Linked DNA regions of Callithrix jacchus. The protein of the gene in region 1 purifies or fractionates together with the protein of each later gene. This does not show direct contact. Links are inferred from orthologs where the notes say so. Each region holds a gene or a part of one and is shown in the gene's direction. Other genes may lie near its edges.

Region 1 (10,854 bases):
GTCTCAAAAAGAAATAAATAAAAGGCCAGGCACGGTGGCTCACGCCTATAATCCCAGCACTTTGGGAGGCCGAGGTGGGTGGATCACAAGGTCAAGAGATCAAGACCATCTGGTCAACATGGTGAAACCCCGTCTCTACTAAAAATACAAAAATTAGCTGGGCATGGTGGCGCGCACCTGTAGTCCCAGCTACTCGGGAGGCTGAGGCAGGAGAATTACTTGAACCCAGGAGGCGGAGGTTGCCGCAAGCCGAGATCGCGCCATTGCACTCCAGCCTGGGTAACAAGAGCAAAACTCCATCTCAAAAAAAAAATTAAATAAATAAATAAAAAGGAAAAAAAAAGAATAGGAAAAAAAAAACCAGGCTTTGAGCTATTATTTTCTAGTAAACGCTAAGAATACTTACTAAAACAAAGCATTTCTTGACCCCTTTAGCTTCTGGAGTATAGTTTTATAGTATTTTAATCCCTTTTCTCTTTCCTTTTAACATTCTCCAAGCTCCCAAAACTTCAGAAGAACTCCACTTATTCAACAAATGTATATTGAGAGCTCATTTATACCATCATGAGCTACTTGATATAATAGCTACAAAGAAAATGATATTTTGTGTATTGTTGACGGGCAACTTCAGAGTGTATAACTTTGGAGTTGAGTCTCGAAAGACCACCAGGGCAAAGGCAGTGAGGTGTAAAAGTCAAAGGAGTGTTCAGATTGCTGGGGGCAGGTCCTGTGGGTAGCACAGGATATCTGGGGAAAGAGCCTCTCAGTGAAGTGATCTTTTGAGACAGTGTTTCAAAACTGCTGTTTTTTTAAAAAGGTGAAGAAATCTCTGGCTTACGCCTGTAATCCCAATACCTGGGTGGACGAAGTGACCTCAGGCAGATCACCTGAGGTCAGGAGTTTGAGACCAACCCGGGTAACATGGTGAAAACCTGTCTCCACTAAAAATACAAAAATTAGGCCAGGTGCAGTGGCTCATGCCTGTAATCCCAGCACTTTGGGAGGCCAAGGTAAATGGATTGCTTGAGCTTGGGAGTTGGAGACCCACCCAGACAACACAGTGAAACCCCATCTCTTGGCCAGGCGCGGTGGCTCACACCTGTAATCCCAGCACTTTGGGAGGCCCAGGCGGGCGGATCACCTGAGATCAGGAGTTCAAGACCAGCCTGACCAATATGGTGAAACCCCGTCCCTACAAAAAAAAAAATACAAAAATTAGCGCAGCACGGTGGTTCGTGCCTGTAGCCCCAGCTATTTGGGAGGCTGAGGCAGGAGAATTGCTTGAACCCAGGAGGCGGAGGTTGTGGTGAGCTGAGATCACACCACTGCACCCCACCCTGGGTGACAGAGTGAGACTTTGCCTCAAAAAAAAAGAAACCCCATCTCTTCTATAAATAGAAAAATTAGCCAGGTGCAATGGTGCACATCTGTAATCCTAGCTACTTGGGAGGCTGAGGCAGGAGAATCACTTGAATCTGAGAGGCAGAGGTTGCAATGGGCAGAGATTGCACTACTGCACTCTAGCCTGGGCAATACAGCAAGACTCTCAAAAAAAAAAACAACTCAAAAAATCATTAAGAAATAATGTGGTCAATTTTTCAGGATTTTCTGAGAGCTGTGTCATGGGCCATTGGTCACTCCTATTTGGCTCAGAAGAAACCTCTGCTGACCTTAGGTGCACTTCCTTTTTTTTTCTTTTCTTTTTTGTTTTTAGGTGCACTTCCTATGAGTTAGCCCTGCTCCACAAGAATAAGTACTGTTCAGTAAAAGATTGCTCTCTAAAAACACCAACAAAAAGAATAAATATCTTCAAATATTTTACAGAGTTTGACTCTTTTTTATGTTTTTTACGTTATGTTTTTGAGACAGAGTTTTGCTCTTGTTGCCCAGGCTGGAGTGCAATGGTGTGATCTCGGCTCACCTCCCAGGTTCAAGCAATTCTCCTGCCTCAGCCTCCGGAATAACTGGGCTTACAGGCACGCGCCACCACACCTGGCTAGTTTTGTATTTTTAGTAGAGTCAGGGTTTTTCCATGTTGGTCAACCTCAGGTGATCCCAATCTCAGGTGATCTGCCCACCTCAGCCTCCCAAAGTTCTGGGATTACAGGTGTGAGCCACTGCGCCTGGCCAAGTTCAATTCTTTTTTATCAACAAAGACCAGTGTGGGCAATATAGCAAGATCCTGTCTCAGCAAAAAATTTAAGAAATTAGCTGAGTATGGTGGCTTGTGTCTGTAGGTCCAGCTGCTTGGGAGGCTGAGGCAAGAGGATCATTTAAGCCCAGAAGTTCGAGGCTACAGTGAGCTATGATCCCACTACTGCACAGTGAGACTCTGTCTCCAATAAATAAATACCATAAAAATAAAATTTAAAAATTTAGGCCAGGCATGGTTACTCATGCCTGTAATTCCAGCATTTTGGGAGGCCCAGGCAAGAAGATTGCTTGAGCCCAGGAGTTTGAGACCAGCCTGAATAACAGGGGAAACCTGGCCTCTATAAAAAAAATTAGCTGAGCATAGTAGGGGCACCTGTGGTGTCCTACTTGGAGGCTGAGGTGGGAGGACTGCTTAAGCTAGGAGGCCAAGGATGCTTGAGCCCAGAGGTCATGATTGTGCCACTGCACTCCAGCTTAGGCGACAGAGTGAGACACGGCCTCAAAAAACAAAAAACAAGGGAGGGATCACGAGGTCAGGAGTTCGAGACCATCTTGGCTAATATGGTGAAACCCTATCTCCACTAAAAACACAAAAAATTAGCTGGACTTGGTGGTACGTGCCTGTAGTTCTTGCTACTCAGGAGGCTGAGGCAGGAGAATCTTTGAACCTGGGAGGTGGAGGTTGCAGTGAGCCAAGATGCGCCATTGTATTCCAGCCGGGGCAACAGAATAAGACTCGGTCTCAAAACAAAAACAAACAAAACTCCTATACTGTAGCTCTACAGCATTGAGTTTGGTGCTAAATAAATGTTAATGACATCTATTAATTGAGCAAATTATTTAAAGAGGCCTCAACTGGACCAGGTACTACTTCAGGAGCTGGGATATAGTTCCTGTCTTCATAATTTCTTGTAGTGGGAAACACACGTGTATATATATATCTGTGTGCCTGTGAGTGTGTGTGTGTGTGTGTGTGTGTGTGTGTGTGTATGTCTTTGTTTTTCTTTTTTGAAACAGGGTCTTGCTCTATGGCCCAAGCTGGAGTGCAGTGGCATGATCTGGGCTCACTGCAACCTCTACCTCCAGGGCTCAGGTGGTCCTCCCACCCCAGCCTCCTGAGTAGCTGGGAAGACAGGTGTGCACCACCATGGCTAGCTAACTTATTTTTTGTATTTTTAGTAGAAATAGGGTCTTGCTATGTTGCACAGGCTTGTCTCCAACTCCCGAGCTCAAGCAATCCTCCTGCCTCAGCCTCCCAAAGTGGAGTTGTAATTTTAGATAGGGTGTGAAAAACTTCACTGAGAGAGACAGTTGAAAAAACATCTGAAAGAGATGGGGGTTCAAGCCATCTGACTACGTGAAGAAAGAGCTTTCCAGGCAGAGGGACAAGCAATTCCGAAGGCCCTGAGGCTGAAGGAGATACTGAGGGGTAGAGCAGCTGGAGGCGAGAGAAATAATGGGGAAGTGCGAGAGGGATCAGCTGGGCCTTATAGGTCATGGTAAACATTTTAGCTTTTACTCTTTTTTTTTTTTTTTTTTCTTTTTTGAGACAGAGTCTCACTCTGTCATCGAGGCTGGAGTGCAGTGCGCAATCTTGGCTCACTGTAACGTCTGCCTCCCAGGTTCAAGTGAGTCTCATGCCTCAGCCTCCGGATTAGCTGGGACTGCAGGAGTGTGCCAACACGTCCAGCTAATATTTGTATTTTTTTGTAGAGATGCAGTTTCATCATATTGCCCAGGCTGATCTCAAGCCCCTGGCAAGTGATCTCAGCCCTCCAAAGTTCTGGGATTACAGGTGTGAGCCTCCACGTCTGGCCAGCCAATTGAATTTGTATGCATGATAGGATCCATCCAAATTCGAAGACCCAAAAATAACAGAATAATTAGTACAAGTCTTTGAGGCAATTAGGTGATTAGTATTAATTTTAATCAATGGGATTAAGCCAAGACTTCATTCAACTTGTCCAGAACATCAGTCAAGATTGTCAATTTAAAATGTTCTTGGAGACCGGTTGCGGTGGCTCACGTCTGTAATCCCAGCACTTTGGGAGGCTGAGGTGGGTGGATCACAAGGTTAGGAGTTTGAGACCAGCCTAGCCACCATGGTGAAAATCCCATCTCTACTAAAAATACAAAAATTAGCTGGGCATGGTGGCAGGCACCTGTAGTCCTAGCTACTTGGGAGGCTGAGGCAGGAGAATTGCTTGAACTTGAGAGGCAGAGGTTGCAGTGAGCCAAGATTGAGCCACTGCACTCCAGCGTGGGCTACAAGAGTGAAACTCCGTTTCAAATAAATAAATAAAATGTTCTTGGTCAGGCACAGCAGCATTCGCCTGTAGTCTCAGCTACTTGGGAAGCTGAAGCAAGAGGATTGCTTGAGGCTAGGAGTTCAAGCCCAGCCGAAGCAACCTTAAAAAAAATATTTTTTGCTGAGCACGGTGGCCCAAGCCTGTAATCCCAGCACTTTGGGAGGCCGAGGCAGGTGGATCACGAGGTCAAGAGATCGAGACCATCCTGGTCAACATGGTGAAACCGCGTCTCTACTAAAAATACAAAAAAAAATTATCTGGGCATGGTGGTGCATGCCTGTAATCCCAGCTACTCAGGAGGCTGAGGTAGGAGAATTGCCTGAACCCAGGAGGCGGAGGTTGCCATGAGCCAAGATCGTGCCATTGCACTCCAGCCTGGGTAACAAGAGCGAAACTCCGTCTCAAAAAAAAAAAAAACTCTGCCAGGCACAGTGGTTCATGCCTGTAATCTCAGTACTTTGGGAGGTCATGGTGGGTGGATAACTTTAGGTCAGGAGTTCGAGACCAGACTGGCCAACATAAGGAAACCCTGTCTCTACTAAAAATGCAAAAAGCGGCCAGGTGTGGTGCGACACGGCTGTACTTGGGAGGCTGAGGCAGGAGAATTGCATGAATCGGGGAGGCGGAGTTTGCAGTGAGCCAAGATGGCACCACTGCACTCCAGCCTGGGTGACAGAACAAGACTCTGTCTCAAGAAAAATAAAAAGAAAAAATATATATCATCTATATGTCTGTCTAGATCATAATTTGTGCCCTGTAGATTAAGGGAATGCGACTGGATTAGTGTGGAGGGGCGTTTTGTGGACCCAGGCAGGAGTTGGGAAGCATTTGTACTTTTGCTTTATGTCACAAGGACAGATGCCCCACAAAGGGCGAGATGTTTGTGTTCCTGGATCTTAGAACAGTGCCTGGAATATAACAGGTGTAGGGTTGCCAGCAAATAAAAAGGCAGATACTCAATTAAATTTAATCTTCAGATAATCAACAAATACTTTTTTAGTATAAGTATGTCCCATTCTGTATTTGGAACACACATATTAAACTGCTGTTTATCTGAAATTCAAATTTAAGTGGGTGTCCTTTACTTTATCTGGAACCCTACCAAAGAGCTCAATAAATATTTGCTGACTTAATAGACTGACGGTGTCGTTTCACCTGTAAAATGGGGCTAGTACCTGTCCCTGCCTCCATAAGGCTGATGGGCAGAATAAATGGCACTCAGTGAGCCCTCAATTTATTTGATTGCTCTGGGACTATCCGGCGAGCAGAAAGCCCTTCTACTTTCAAATACACAAACGATAAAAAGACCTCTAGGAGGCCAGAGGTTCCCAGGCTAGGCCTAGGTTACCCGCACCTGCGAGCCCGGCCAACCTCTTCCGGGTCAGGTGACCGCGCGCGGTCACGTGACCCGGCCCGAGTGCGGGCGGTGGAAGGCGGAAGTGGGAGAGGAGTTGGGTGCCGCTTCTGTGGCCACGGCAGGTAACTAGCGCCGGCGCGGGGGACGCGGCTGGCGGGCTGGCGGCGTGGGGCGGGCCGGGGGCGGCGGGCGGCGCGGAGTGGGCCGGGGGCGGCGCGGCCCGGGCGCCGGGGGGCGGCGGCTTCCTGTGGGAGGGGCCTGGCGTGGCGGTTCCGGCCTCCGAGGAGGGGTGTCCCGGCTCCCGCCCGAGCGGGGTGGGCGCGACGCGGGTAGCGCGGGGGCCGCTCGGAGATGGGCGCCCAGGCAGCCAAGTGTGCAGCTGGAGCGAGTCCTCCCTGAAGGGGAGAGGAGCCTAGGTGCCCAGGCATGGGGAGGAGCGATGTTTATGGAGGGATCGCGACCAGGGGAAGGGCGACTTGGGACTGAGCTGGAAGGGATGCCTGAGAATGGGTTTATGGCGTGGAGCGAGAGGGAGAAATCAGGAAGAAGATGCTCCCTGGACCCCCTCTGAGAGCCTCTCTCTTCCTTCCTTTTTGGAAATGATTGCTACCCGAGACTTTGATGACGGTCCCATTCAGTTTTTAAACTTCAGGAGGGATCACAGAATCTTGGTCGTCTTGCTTTCTTCGCACCCACTTACTCCTGCGTGGGTAGAGTTTCCGCTTCTTGGAAACCTAGCCCTTCGGATCATTTTTCTTTGAGATTTAATTGATCGGGTCATCATCGAGGTTTTAATAACAACAACAAAAGAATTAAAGAAGTGTGGGCACTTTGCTCTGCCCATAAAATGGCTTTTAGCCTACGCTGTTGACCTAGCCCAGCGTTACCTCAGCAACATAGTGACTGCTGAAATCTGGGACAGAGGAGTGTCTACCTAGACTGCTTTATGACTTTCCTCTTTCTTCCGTTTAAATTATTCAGTTTCACTTAGCATGTGACTGCTTATCTTGACGAACAGTAATTAGGCAGGGTGACTGAGAGGTCTGTGTTATGGTCCTTAGAACTGTGACCTGGATCATGATTTTGAGATTACTTGTGTTAATGCTGTTCATGCTCCTGTTTCTCATGTTTACTAAAATTTGCAGGAGCTGAAGGAGTTTCGTGAGTACAGTGTAACTAGAACGAATGTTCAGGCTGGACATTCACACAGCCAGCATCGTTTTGGGTTACAAGTAGGAAAAAGTACTTTGCTAATATATTATGGGTTCAAGTTTTTGGAGTTATTTGACAAACATTTAAAAATTAGTTTTTGTAGCATCTCCTGTGAGTGAGGTTGGGAAGGTATTATTCTCATTTCACAGGAAACAAACAGACTTAAGAGAGACGACTTAATTTTTTTTTTTTTTTTTCGAGACGGAGTCTCACTGTCACCATGTTGGAGTGCAGTGGCGCGATCTCAGGCTCACTGCAACCTCCCCCCCCCACCCCCCGGGTTCAAGCGATTGTCCTGACGACTTGATTTTTTAAAACAATGTATTGTTCTTTCTTGTTTGCTGGTCTCTTCTTCCTGCTAGACTGCAAATCCCTCAACGGCAGGTTTCATATTTTATTTGGCTACCAGCCTAGTGCCTTGCATGTTATGGGCACTTGATAAAAAATGTTTGGTGAATAAATGCATTTCTAAAGGTCACACTGGTGTAAGTGGTGACAAGGGGTTTGAACCCAAGTCTTCTACTCTTTGTCTTGTCAGACAGATTTGTGATTATGTGTGTCATTGGTCCATATGAAAAGCGGCTTGAGAGAAAGGCTTGGTTTAGCTTCTTAGTCCCTTTGACTTCATGATTACTTTCCCATATACAAAGAACATATACGAACATCTCACTTAACCTTCCCTGTGAAATTTGGATGGTCAGTATTGTCCCTATACCTCAGATGAAGAAACTGAGGCTTAATGAAGTCCTTACTGTAGACTGAAGAGCTAGTAAATGAGTAGGGACTCAAGCCTAGGCCGTTCTAGTCCCTAGAACAATTCTTTTTCATTTATTGACACAATAGAAAATTTTATTTTTATTTTGAGACAGGGTTTCACTCTTGCCCAGGCTGGAGTGCAGTGGCACGATCACGGCTCACTGTAACCTTGACCTACCTGAGCTCGGATGATCCTCCCACATCAGTCTTCCAAATAGCTGGGACTACCGGTGGGTGCCACCTCACCCGGCTAATTTTTGTATTTTTTGTAGAGAGAGGGGTTTTGCCATATTGCCCAGGCTGTTCTCAAACTCCTGGGCTCAAGCGATCTGCCCACCTCCGCCTCTTAAAGTATTGTGATTACAGGTGTAAGCCACCGTGCCCAGATGAAAGTTTTATTTTTGCATAATTTTTCAAGTGTAAAAAGTGTGATGTTTTAAGAAAAAGTAGTATAGATCACATAGAAAATGTGAATGTAGGATGTGAGTAAATGAAGTTTAGAAAACCCTGTGCTCTACCATAGCTGCCTCTTCCTGTGAAAACCTTCTTTCATCCAGTGAATATAAGTACCTACTCTGTCTATGCCAGGCTTTGCTGTAGAGTCCAGTGTGGTAAACACTAGCCACATGGGGCTGTTGAGCACTGGAGCTATGCTGGGAGCATAAAATACATTCTGGATTTTAAAGACTTAGCATGAAGAAAAAGTAAAATGTCTCATTGATACTTCTATTTTATTTATTATTTTTTTAGAGGCATGGTTTCACCATGTTGGTCAGGCTGGTCTCGAACTCCTGACCTCAGGTGATCCGCCCACCTTGGCCTCCCAAAGTGCTGGGATTACAGGCGTGAGCTACCGTGCCCGGCTGATACTTTTATAGTAAATTATCGTATAATGTATAAACATGTATAACATTTTAGATTTATTGGGTTAAATACATCGTAATTATAAATAGTTGGTCAGGCATGGTGGCTCACGCCTATAATTCCAGCACTTTGGGAAGCCAAAGTGGATGGATTGCTTGAGTCTAGGAATTTGGGACTAGCCTCGGCAACATGGCGGAAGCCTGTCTCTACAAAAAAATACAACTATTAGCCAGGTGCAGGCTACTCAGGAGGCTGAGGCGGGAGGATCACCCAAGCCTGGGGAGGGGGGTGGATGGAGGCTGCAGTGAGTTGTGATCATGCCACTGCTCTCCAGCCTCAGTGACAGAGTAAGACCCTGTCTCAAAAAAGAAAAAGAGAAAATGTTTCACCTTTTTGCCTTTTTTCCCCACAGCCTTGACTTGAAACCCAGCACTTTTTTCTTTTTAAAATGTGTTTCCTAGAAAAATAAAAAATTATGTATGTAGGCCATGCGTGGTGGTTCACGCCTAAAATCCCAGCACTTTGGGAGGCTGAAGCGGGTGGATCACCAGGTCAAGAGATCGAGACCATCCTGGTCAACAAGGTGAAACCCCGTCTCTACTAAAAATACAAAAATTAGCTGGGCACAGTGGCGCGTGCCTGTAATCCCAGCTACTCAGGAGGCTGAGGCAGGAGAATTGCTTGAACCCAGGAGGCGGAGGTTGCAGTGAACTGAGATCATGCCATTGCACTCCAGTCTGTCCAGTCTGGGTAACAACAGTGAAACTCCGTCTCAAAAAAAAAAAAAAATATATGTATGTGGCTTGCACTTGTGGCTCCTATCTTATTTCTGTTGGACAAACCTGTTCTGAATGCCGGGCATATGGCAGTATGAGAAAGGCAAGGCTCTCCGCTCTTGTGGACCTTAAATTGTATTAGAGAAGGGCACATTGATAACTAAGTAGAATATATATTTTGTTGTAAGCAAGCAGGGAAGAGAGATATGGGGTTGCAGTTTAAATAGGATTCTGACCAGGTGCCATGGCTCATGTGTATAATCCCAGCAGTTTTGGAGGCTGAGGTGGGTGGATCACTTGAGGTCAGGAATTCAAGAACAGCCTGACCAACATGGTGAAACCCCATTTCTACTTAAAATACAAAAATTTAGCTGGGTTTGGTGGCACATGCCTGTAATTCGAGGTACTCGGGAGGTTGGGACACGAGAATCGCTTGAATTCGGGAGGCAGAGGTTGCAGTGAGATTGCACCGCTATAGCCTGGGTGACAAAGTGAGACTCTGTCTTGCTTTTGTAGAGATGGGGGTCGGGGGGGGTCTCACTGTTGCTCAGGCTGGTCTTGAACACCTGGCCTCAAGCCATCCTGCCTTGGCCTCCCAAAGTGCTGAGATTACAGGCGTGAACCATTGCACCTGGATAAGTCTCTGAACTCTAAATACCATCCACATGCTGACAGCTTCCATATGTGTCTGTCTAGCCTCAGCCTGTCTCCAGACTTCTAGATCTAATTGCCACAATATCTTCAACTTGATTCCTATCAGGCATTTTGTAATCAACATCACCAAAATTGAGCCCCATCCCTGCTCCTCATGCAGCCTTCCCCATCTCAGTTAATGACAACTCCATTCCTCCAGCTGTTCAAGCCAAAGACCTTGGCGTCACCCATGACTCCTCTCTTCCTCTCACACGCCACATCCAACCCAACTCGTCCACAAAGCCTACTGACTGTACTTCAGAGTACACCCCAGATGCATCTTTCCTCTGGATGATGGCAGCAGCCTCCTAACTTGTCTCCCTGCTTCCACTCTGGCTGATCTTCACTTTCTCCACACTGGACCCAGAGCGAGTCTGTTAAAAGGCAGGATGGATCCTGTCCAGTCCACTGCTCAACTCAAACCCTCCAATTGTCCCAGCTTAACCTGAATGAAAAATCAATACTGTACAATGGCCTGCAAGGCCTCCTGTGACCCGATCGCTCCTCCCACACCCACTACCACTCTGACCTCCTCTCTCCACTCCTGCTCACTCACTCCCTTCCAGGCACACTGGCCTCCTGGCTGGTCCCAAAACCTGCCAGGGGTACTCCTTCTTTGGGGCTTTTGAACTCTGCCAGGACCCCTTCACCCCCATTCAGCCACACGGCCCCTTCCTTTCCTTACCTCCTCAGATCTTTACTCAGCTGTCACCTTCAGAGAGAGGCTTTTCTA
Region 2 (10,422 bases), on another chromosome or scaffold:
CAGGCTAGAGGGAAGTAATTGTCAGTATACTCTTGAAATAAGTAACTAGTCTGTGTCATTATTTAATTGCATGTCTAGGTCAGGTTTTTGGTCAGAAACTGGCTCAGACAAGCTAAAAGGAACAAAATCCTGTCTTGTAGCAACATGGTTGGAGCTGGAGGCCATTAACTTAAGCAAATGAACACAGGAACTAAAAACCAAATACCTCACATTATTTTATAAGGGGGAGTTAAACTTTGAGTACATGTGGACACAAAGAAGGGAACAACAGACACTGAGGCCTAGTTGGGGGAATGGGTGGTATGGATTGAAAAATTACCTATCAGTACTATGCTTATCACTTGGATGACGAAATAGTCTACACCAAACCCTCATAACACCCATTTCCCCTATATTACAAACCTGTACCTGTACCCTGAACCTAAAATCAAATAAAAGCTGGGAGCAGTGGCTCACACCTGTAATCCCAGCACTTCGAGGCTGAGGCGGGTGGATCACAATGTCAGGGGTTCGAGACCAGCCTGAGTAACATGATGAAACCCTGTCCTACTAAAAAAAAAAATTAGCTGAGCGTGGTGGCACACACTTGTAATCCCAACTACTCAGGAGGCTGAGAGAGGAGAATTGCTTGAACCTGGGAGGCAGAGGTTGCAATGAGCCAATCTCAGGCTACTACACTCCAGCCCGGGTGACAAAGTGAGACTCTATCTCAAAAAAAAATAAAGTTTAAAAAAAAATGTGGAGTGGGAAACCACTGGATTTCTGCAGGGCAGAGAAATGTTCAAATGCAAAATGAACATTTAGAAACAAACTTTCGAAGGAGTATTTTCAGCTGCCATTTATGCTTCTCACAAATAGAGTTTGAAACAGCTGAGACACTTCTAAATTCAGAAGTTCATATGCTTCTGGAACATCGAAAGCAGCAGAATGAGAGCGCAGAGGATGAACAAGAACTCTCAGAAGTCTTCATGAAAACATTAAACTACACAGCCCGTTTCAGTCGTTTCAAAAATAGAGAGACCATTGCCAGTGTTCGTAGGTGAGTGCTTAAAGGAAATTTTTATTAATTCATACCATTAGACAGCTGCATGTAGAATGCTATCCCCTTGCCCTTTCCCAGGTGTCACCTGTGAATTTAAGTAAAATAATGTTGGGCTGGGCATGGTAGCTCACACCTATAATCCCAGCACTTTGGGAGGCTGAGGCAGCAGGTCACTTGAGGACAGGTGTTCAAGACCAGCCTGGCCAACATCACAAAAACCTCTGCTAAAAATACAAAAAATTAGCTAGGTGTGGTGGTACACACCATTAATCCCACCTACTCAGGAAACTGAGGCGGGAGAATCGCTTGAACCTGCAGGCCAAGGTTACAGTGAGCTGAGATTGTACCACTGCACTCCAGCATGGGCAACTCTCAAAAAAAAAGTCTTAAAAATCTAAAAATTGCTTTTAAGACCAAAATTTCAGCCAGGTGTGGTGGCTTACACCTGCAATTCACACTTTGTGGGGCTGAGGTGGGCCAGTCAGTTGAGGCCAGGAGTTAGAGACAAACATGGGCAACATGGTAAAACTCCTCTCTATAAAAAAATACCAAAATTATACAGGTGTGGTGGCAAGTACCTGTGGTCCTAGTTACTTGGGAGGCTGAAGTGGAGGACCATCCGAGCCTGGGAGGTTGAGGCTGCAGTGAGCTGTGATTGTGCCACTGCCTTCTAGTCTGGAAGCAGACTCAAATGTGAATCTGTCACATAAGTCCAGTATGTGTGATCTAAATGGTACTATTAGTAGGTAAAAGTTTTTTTGTTGTTATTTTTTTTGTAGAGATGGGGAGACTTACTATTTTGCCCAGGCTGGTCTCAAGCTCCTGGCCTCAGTTGATCTTCCCACCTTAGCCTCCCAAAGTTCTGGGATTAACTGGATGTAGTGGCTCATACCTGTAATTCCAGCACTTTGGGAGACCAAGACGGGCAGAGCACTTGAGGTCAGGAGTTTGAGGCCAGCCTGACCAACATGGTGAAACTTCATCTCTACTAAAAATACAAACATCACTTAGCTGGGCATGATAGCACATGCCTGTAGTCCCAGGTACTCAGGAGACTGAAACAGGAGAATTGCTTGAACCCAGGAGGCAGAGGTAGCAGGGAGCTGAGATTGCTCTATTGCACTCCAGACTGGGTGACAGAGTGAGACTCCATTTAAAAAAAAAAAACCCAAAAAACAAAGCACTGGGATTAGAGGTGAGCCACCACGCCCAGCCTACATTTTTTTAAATAATAGTATTTGTACATAGGTATGAGGTACATGTGATACTTTGTTACTTAGAATGTACAATGAGTATGTTAGGGTGTTTAGGGTATTGATTATGTATTAGGAACATTTCAAGACTTCTCCTGTAGCTATTTTTATTTTATGTATGTATTTATTTATTTTAGAGACCATGTTGCCCAGGCTGGTCTTGAACTCCTGGGCTCAAGTGATCCTCCCATCTTGGCCTCCCAAACTGCTAGGATTACAGGCACAAGCCACTATGCCCAGCCTCCTCTACCTTTTTACATTTTTGAGACAGAATCTTACTTCATCACCCAGATTGGAGTGCAGTGGTGCAATCTCGGCTCGCTGCAACCTCCGCCTCACAGGTTCAAGCGATTCTCATGCCTCAGCCTCCCAAGTAGCTGGGACTACAGACACATATCACCACACCCGGCTAATTTTTGTATTTTTAGTAGAGATGGGGTATTGCCATGGTGCTCAGGCTGGTCTCGAACTCCTCATTCAAGTGATCCGCCCACCTTGGCTTCTCAAAGTGCTGGAATTATAGGCGTGAGCCACTACACCCAGCCGTCTAGCTATTTTTAAATGCTAGCTACATTTGATCCCTTTTTTCCTGTTGATTATTATTTGATTTTTGTTGTTTATTTGGTTTTAATTTGTTTCGGTATTTTTTTTTTCCCCTGTTGATCAGCTTGCTACTCCAGAAAAAGCTTCATAAGTTTGAGTTGGCCTGTTTGGCCAACCTTTGCCCAGAGACTGCTGAGGAGTCCAAGGCTTTAATCCCAAGGTTAGTACCAGTTGTAATCAGTTCTCTGTATACTGGATAAATTTCTGCAAATATAATTGGTGTATCTAAAATGTTTATGCATTTTCTCGGGCGTGGTGGCTCACGCCTATAATCCCAGCACTTTGGGAGGCTGAGGTGGGTGGATCACGAGGTCAAGAGATCAAGACCATCCTGGTCAAGGAGGTGAAATCCCGTCTCTACTAAAAATACAAAAATTAGCTGGGCATGGTGGTGCGCACCTGTAGTCCCATCTACTCAGGAGGCTGAGGCAGGAGAATTGCTTGAACCCAGAAGGTGGAGGTTGCGGTGAGCTGAGATTATGCTATTGTACTCCAGTCTGGGTAACAACAGCGAAACTCCGTCTCAAAAAATAAAAATTAAAAAAAATAATAAAATGCATAAGCATTTTATATTTGCATACATAATTGCCAATATTGAATTAAAGTGCCGTTTTAACAGTGAGAGTGATACCAAGTGATAGTAAAAATGAGGAACAGCTGGACTTCCGTATACTGATGGTAGGAGCATTAATTAGAACAACCATTTTGGAGAGCAATTTGGCTATGTCTAGTAAAGACGAATGTACTCCATGTTCCAAAAATCCATTCCTGGGTATGTATCTTTTTTTTTTTTTAGACAGAGTCTCACTCTGTCACCCAGGCTGGAGTGCAGTGGTGCAATCTCAGCTCACTTTAACCTCTACCTCCGGGGTTCCAGTGATTCTCCTGCCTCAGTCTCCTGAGTAACTGGGATTACAGGTGCCTGCCACCACACCTGTCTAGTTTTTGCATTTTTAGTAGAGATGGGGGTTTCACCATCTTGGCCAAGCTGCCTGGGTACATATCCTAAAGGTAACTCACACAAGTTTACAAGGATATGTATATTCCAGTGTTCATTGCTGCATTTTTTTTAAGTAGACATGGGGTTTTGCCATGTTGGCCGGGCTGATCTCAAACTCTTGGTCTCAGGTGATCTGCCTGTTTTGGCCTCTCGAAGTGCTGGGATTACAGGCATAAGCCATGGCGCCCAGCCTTATGCTGCATTGTTAATGATAGCAGAAATTTGATAATCTCTTGATCAATAAGAAAATGCATAAATGAATCATTGTATAGTCATAACAGTGTTTATTGTACAGCAGTGAAAAAAATGCACTAGAACAACATGGAATAATATCAACACATGCCAGAATGAATTTTGAGGAAAAAAAATTGCAGAAGGATAAATACAGTATAGTGCCATTTCTTTTCTTTTCTTTTTTTTTTTGAGACGGAGTTTTGCTGTAGTTACCCAGACTGGAGTGCAATGGCACAATCTCGGCTCACCGCAACCTCTGCCTCCTGGGTTCAGGCAATTCTCCTGCCTCAGCCTCCCGAGTAGCTGCGACTACAGGCATGCACCAGCATGCCCAGCTAATTTTTGTATTTTTAGTAGAAACGGGGTTTTACCTTGTTGACCAGGATGGTCTCGATCTCTTGACCTTGTGATCTACCCACCTCGGCCTCCCAAAGTGCTAGGATTATAGGCGTGAGCTACCGCACCCAGCCAATGCCATTTCTTATAAAGTTTGAAGCTACTGCATATTATATATCCATAAATGTGTAGTAAATATAAATATATATGTGGCAAGTAAAAATTTAAATGTAAGGCAATGATAAATTGTGGTTATTCCTGGGGGAGAAGGGAAGGTATAGGTCTAGGGTAGTATACATAGCCAACGACTTTTCCTGCTTGTTAAAGAACTCTGGCCAGGCGGGGTGGCTCACGCCTGCCATCTTAGCACTTTGGGAGGCTGAGGCGAGCAGATCACCTGAGGTCAGGACTTTCATACCAGCCTGGCCAACAGGGTAAAACCCTGTCTCTACTAAAATCATAAAAATTAGCTGGGCGTGGTGGCGGTTTTCTGTAATCCCAGCTACTCAATAGGCTGAGGTAGGAAAATCACTTGAACCCAGAAGGGGAGGTTTCGGTGAGCCAAGATCACGCCACTGCATTCCAGGCTGGGGGACGAGTGAAACTCCCTCTCAAAAAATAAATAAAAATTTAAAAATAAATAAATAAAATAACTCTTAAGAATTGCCTGAACCTGGGAGGCAGAGGTTGCAGTGAGCAGAGATCACGCCATTGCACTACAGCTTGAGTGACAGAGCGAGACTCCATCTCAAAAAAAAAACACTCTAAGTCAAGTGGGGCTAACTGTAAAGGTTTATTTTTTATAGCTTTTATCTTTTACATGTTGGAAATATTTTGTAATGTTTTTTCAGGAAAAGTGGAAAAGAAATACAGATGAAAGGTAAAGGTGTTAGAGATATAGGCAGATTATCACGCCTCAAAGAAGAGTGTGAGGAAATTGCCAGTTGCCAAGTCACTCATTCTTTCGGTTTTCTTGTTGTAGCTTGGAGGGGCGGTTTGAAGATGAGGAGCTGCAGCAGATTCTTGACGATATCCAGACGAAGCGCAGCTTTCAGTATTAATCTCCAGATGTCACTGCTTCTCAGAGAAACCATGTCCCCAGGCGTACCACCACCTTCCCAGGGGCTGGGGCTGACTTGCACAGAAATTCTACTGCAGAAGACAGTTGAGAATTCCTTTGGAGAAAATAGCCCAGCTTGGCATTGGGTTAGGTTGCTGTTTCAAATAACTCATAGGTCCAGGTGACAGGTAATCTTGGAGCAGCCTTGTGCAGTGGCTGCTAGTGGCTTTCCTGAATGTGCCTCTGGGAAGTGTGAGGTGGGTGTGTCACATAAGCCACACTATTGACTACCTCATTCATGGTTTTTGGCCTCCACGTCATCTTTTCTTAATATTTCCCTTTTTTTTTTTTTTTTTTGAGACGGAGTCTTACTCTGTCGCCGGGTGCCAGGGTGGAATGCAGTGGCACAATCTCGGCTCACTGCAACCTCCACCTCCAGGTTCAAGCAATTCTCTTGCCTCAGCCTCCCGAGTAGCTGGGACTACAGGTGCATGCCACCACACCCAGCTAATTTTTGTATTTTTAGTAAGATGGGGTTTCACCATGTTGGCCAGGATGGTCTCGATCTCTTGACCTTGTGATCCGCCTGCCTTGGCCTCCCAAAGTGCTGGGATTACAGGCTTGAGCCACCGCCCGGCCAATATTTCACGTTTTAATTTCAGTATGTTTATACTTTTTGAAACTAGACCAGAGCATAGTAGACTTTATAGAGAAAGACCTGTTTTACATAGATGCAAAAGGAATAATTAAACCGCTGTTATTGTTTGAAATGCCTGTTTTTGTCTTAATGGAATTAGGGTCTTAACTCTTGCCCAGGCTAGAGGAGTGCAGTGGTATAGTCGCAGCTCACTGCAGCCTTGACCCCCTGCCTCAGCCTCCCAAATAGCTGGGGCCACAGGTGTGCACCACCTTAAAAGATGAGAGTGTTCATGACAGAATGCCCTGGTATTATTGTGCCTAACCTAGGGGACAGGGAAGAAGCATGCCATGGGAAGTGTTTACACTTGGGGACAACTGTGCTAAGTATTGTGGAGCCCATAGCCTTGAGCGAGATGGCTACTTTGCCTTTTTTCTTGAACTGTCTTGCAGAATGTGGATTTGGGGCAAGTGGTCTTGAAGGACTCATTTAGTCACCCTCAAATTAAGATTCTACTTCATCTTTCTTGGGCCTGTACCTCAAACATAACAAAGAAAAGAAGAAACAGTGGTCATGCCAAAGAGGGCTGCAGCCAGGTGTACGCTGTGCACTCCAACCTATTTGCTGCATGAACTATGCCCATTGTGTGCCCAATGACAAGGCTTTTAAGAAATATATCATTTGACATGTAGAGGCTGCAGCAATTAGCAATGTTTCTGAAGCGGGCGTCCTTGACGCCTGTGTACTTCATAGGCTGAATGTGAGATTACACAACTGTGTGAGTTGTGCCATTCATAGCCCGGTAGTCAGGAATCAAGCTCATGAAACCCGCAAGGACCAAACACCTCCACCAATGTAGACCTGCAGGTGCTGCCCCTGACCCCCACCAAAGCCCATGTAAGGAGCGGAGTTCTGAAGGACTGAAGAAAAACTATTCTTTGGAGAAAAATAAAATTGCAGTTGTACTTAAAAAAATTTTTGCTTCATAGGCCAGGCTTGAAGTTCTGAAGACTTTGAAGTCTCCAATCTAAGCCTCTGGCTTGCTACTTAGCAATAGGTGTTCTATGATGGGCTGATTTGGAAGGAGGGAGTCAGCTACTCTTGAGCCACTGCAATGAAGTCACTTGATCTCAGTCTGGGGGGAAACACTTTAATAGCTAAACATTCTAGCTTTGATTTTTCTGAAGGAAAGACACCTCTTGAATTCTGGGATTTTTCTTTGGGGCATTTGCTTGACTGTATATGAACTTGGGGTCCAAGGAAAAAGGAGAAAGAATAGTGTTGGCTTTTATAGTCAGCATAGTTTTATGTTTGCTACTAGATAAGGCAAAAATAAAAACATTTTTATAAATACAGTTTCTGAAAACTGATTTCTTTCCTTTTTTTCTCTTTTGAGACAGAATCTGGGTCTGTTGCCCAGGCTGGAGTACGATGGCACAATCTTGGCTCACTGCAGCCTCTGCCTCCCAGGTTCAAGCAGTTCTCTGCCTCAGCCTCCCCAAGTAGCTGGGATTATAGGTGCCCGCGACCACACATGACTAATTTTTTGCATTTATAGGAGAGACAGGGTTTCGCCATGTTGACCGGGTTCGTCTCGAACTCCTGACCTCAGGTGATCTACCCACCTCGGCTTCCCAAAGTGCTGGGATTATAGGCATGAGTCACTGCGCCTAGCTGACATTTCTAAATAATTAATATTCTTGATCAATGTTTGAAGGAAATAATTTTTTTTTTTTTTTTTTTTGTGGCGGAGTTCGCTCTTGTTACCCAGGCTGGAGTGCAATGGCGCGATCTTGACTCACCACAACCTCTGCCTGCTGGGTTCAGGCAATTCTCCTGCCTCAGCCTCCGGAATAGCTGGGATTACAGGCACACACCACCATGCCCAGCTAATTTTTTGTATTTTTAGTAGAGACGGGGTTTCACCATGTTGACCAGGATGGTCTCACTCTCTTGACCTCGTGATCCACCGACCTCAGCCTCCCAAAGTGCTGGGATTACAGGCGTGAGCCACCGAGCACGGCTGGAAATAATCTTTTTATCCTTAAGCAACTTCACTTCTTTGAGCCTCATTGGTGTTCTCAGTTAAGAAATGTGGATAATAATAGTATCTCCCCATGGATATTTTGAGAAGGTTGAATGAAGAGGAAATTATGAAGAGCCTAGAGGTGTCTGACTTACAGTATGTTCCAGTAAATGTTCACTATTCTTAGTATCTCAGGCAGATGAGCTAGTATAGACAGATAGCTAAGTCAGCTTGCTTCATAGAAATCAGTGCAAGAATTTGGTAGCATACCAACTGATAGTATCAGTTGAAAATAAATGAAATTGCTTACTCCTTGAACCTGCAGAGTTAACTTTTATTTTTTAATGCTTGATACATTTGCATGTCATTCTTGGGCAGTGGCCATGCTGTCTTCTCCGTATTGTTCCAGTTTGGGTGTGCCTACTGCTGAAGTGAGTACTGCAGAGTTGGATCCTGAGGCACTTACATGTGCTGATTGGCACTAATGTGGAATGGAAAGAGACTTGGAAGGCAGCCCAGAGTCACGATCCAGGCATGTGCTAGATGGCAACTGAGGAGCACAGTACCATCTTTACTGGCATTTCCACGTATGTGCCAGGGGTTCTGTGAGCCACCCGAGAAGTATGTAATGCCCCAGCACATAGTTAGGCACTAATCAGTGGTAGTTATCAAGGTGTTTAAAAGCAGATTTAAAATGACTCATGCTAGGGAATTACTTGGCTAAAGCAACCTCATGCTGTTACAGATTAAAAGCCTGGTCAGCAATTCTGTTAGACAGTCAAAAATTGTTTTCTACGGGGCTGAATAGCATATTGCTGTTGAAAATAGCCACCAGGAGACCTTGCACAATCTGTGAAACATTGTTAGGCTCATTGTATTATGTTTGCAAAATCAGGAAAGAATTTGGGAACATAATGAAACAACAAAAAGATGGGTTGTCAAACCCTCACTTCACCAGAAAGCTAAATGAATTTGAAAGTTTTAGGGTCTTAGTTTGTTCCTGCTGCTGTAACAGAATACCTTAGATACTGGGTACCTATAAATAATAGGAATTTATTTCTCACAGTTGTGGAGGCTGGCAAATGCAAGATCCAGATGCTGGTAGGTTCAGTGTCTGGCAAGGGCAGCTCTCTGGTCTGAGATGGTACCTTTTTTCTGCGTCTTCTGTAGGGAATGAACAGTGGCCTTATGGTAGAAGGATGGAAGGGCCAGGCAGCTGTTTTTTTATTTTTAATTTTTTGGATACAGGGTCTTGCTCTGTCGTCCAGGCATCATGATCAAAGTTCACTGCCTCAACCTCCCAGGCTCAAGTGATCCTCCCACCTCAGCCTCTTGAATAGCTGGAACCACAGGCGCAAGCAACCATGCCTAGCTAATTGTGTCTTGTAGAGATGGGGTTTCACCATGTTGCCCAGGCTGGCCTTGAATTCCTGACCTGAAGCAGTCCACCTGTTTCTGCATCCCAAATGCTGAGATTACAGGCATGAGTCATTGTGCCAGGCCTGAAGCCTCTTATTTTTATTTTTTAAAGTTTATTTGTTTATTTATTCATTTTTGAGACAGAGTCTCGCTCTGTTGCCAGGCTGGAGTGCAGTGGCACGATCTCAGCTCACTGCCACCTCCACCTCGGGTTCAAGCAATTCTGCCTCAGCTTCCCAAGTAGCTGGGACTACAGACACCACATCCAACTAATTTTTGTATTTTTAGTAGAGACGAAGTTTCACCATGTTGGCCAGGATGGTCTTGATCTCTTGACCTTGTGATTCCCCCCTCACCACCACCACCACCCCTGCCATGCCACGCCTCAGCCTCTCAAAATGCTGGGGTTACAGGTGTGAGCCACTGCACCTGGCCCTGAAGCCTCTTAATAAGGGCATTGATCCCCTTCATGAGGGATGTTCTCTCATGACTTAATCACCGGCTGAAGACTCCACCTCTTAATACTGTCACATCAGTGAAGGGTTCAGTGTATGAATTGGGTGGGAGGGTGCACATTCAGACCATAGCATCTAGTCATTCTGGTTTTAATAAAATTTATTAGACCTGAGGCATGACAAATAGCATTACTAGATGGGACCTGAGCATCAATAAGCTGCTTCAGTGATACTGTTAGTGTTTTAGGTTTATATATAAAAAGTGGTAAATATGCCAGTGGTGTGAGATTTCAGTTTTTGGTTTTTGAGTTTTTTTGTTTTTTTAGGCAGAGTTTCACTCTTGTTGCCCAGGCTGGA

The links. The genes of interacting proteins can lie anywhere in the genome.
Region 2: the proteins of WWP2 (region 1) and POLR2D purify together in Homo sapiens (affinity purification with mass spectrometry; 3 studies listed by BioGRID and IntAct, with this or other methods). This does not show direct contact. The link is inferred for Callithrix jacchus from reciprocal best matches to the Homo sapiens genes WWP2 and POLR2D.

Annotation. Positions count from the first base shown.
Region 1 is NC_133521.1:27,339,242-27,350,095, forward strand, and holds the start of WWP2 (NEDD4-like E3 ubiquitin-protein ligase WWP2), read left to right. Parts: upstream 1-5,868; 5' UTR 5,869-5,942; intron 5,943-6,083; exon of another isoform or gene 6,084-6,236; intron 6,237-10,854. UniProt on the Homo sapiens protein: E3 ubiquitin-protein ligase which accepts ubiquitin from an E2 ubiquitin-conjugating enzyme in the form of a thioester and then directly transfers the ubiquitin to targeted substrates.
Region 2 is NC_133507.1:36,566,994-36,577,415, forward strand, and holds the end of POLR2D (DNA-directed RNA polymerase II subunit RPB4), read left to right. Parts: intron 1-858; coding exon 859-1,039; intron 1,040-2,962; coding exon 2,963-3,058; intron 3,059-5,450; coding exon 5,451-5,529; 3' UTR 5,530-6,298; downstream 6,299-10,422. UniProt on the Homo sapiens protein: Core component of RNA polymerase II (Pol II), a DNA-dependent RNA polymerase which synthesizes mRNA precursors and many functional non-coding RNAs using the four ribonucleoside triphosphates as substrates.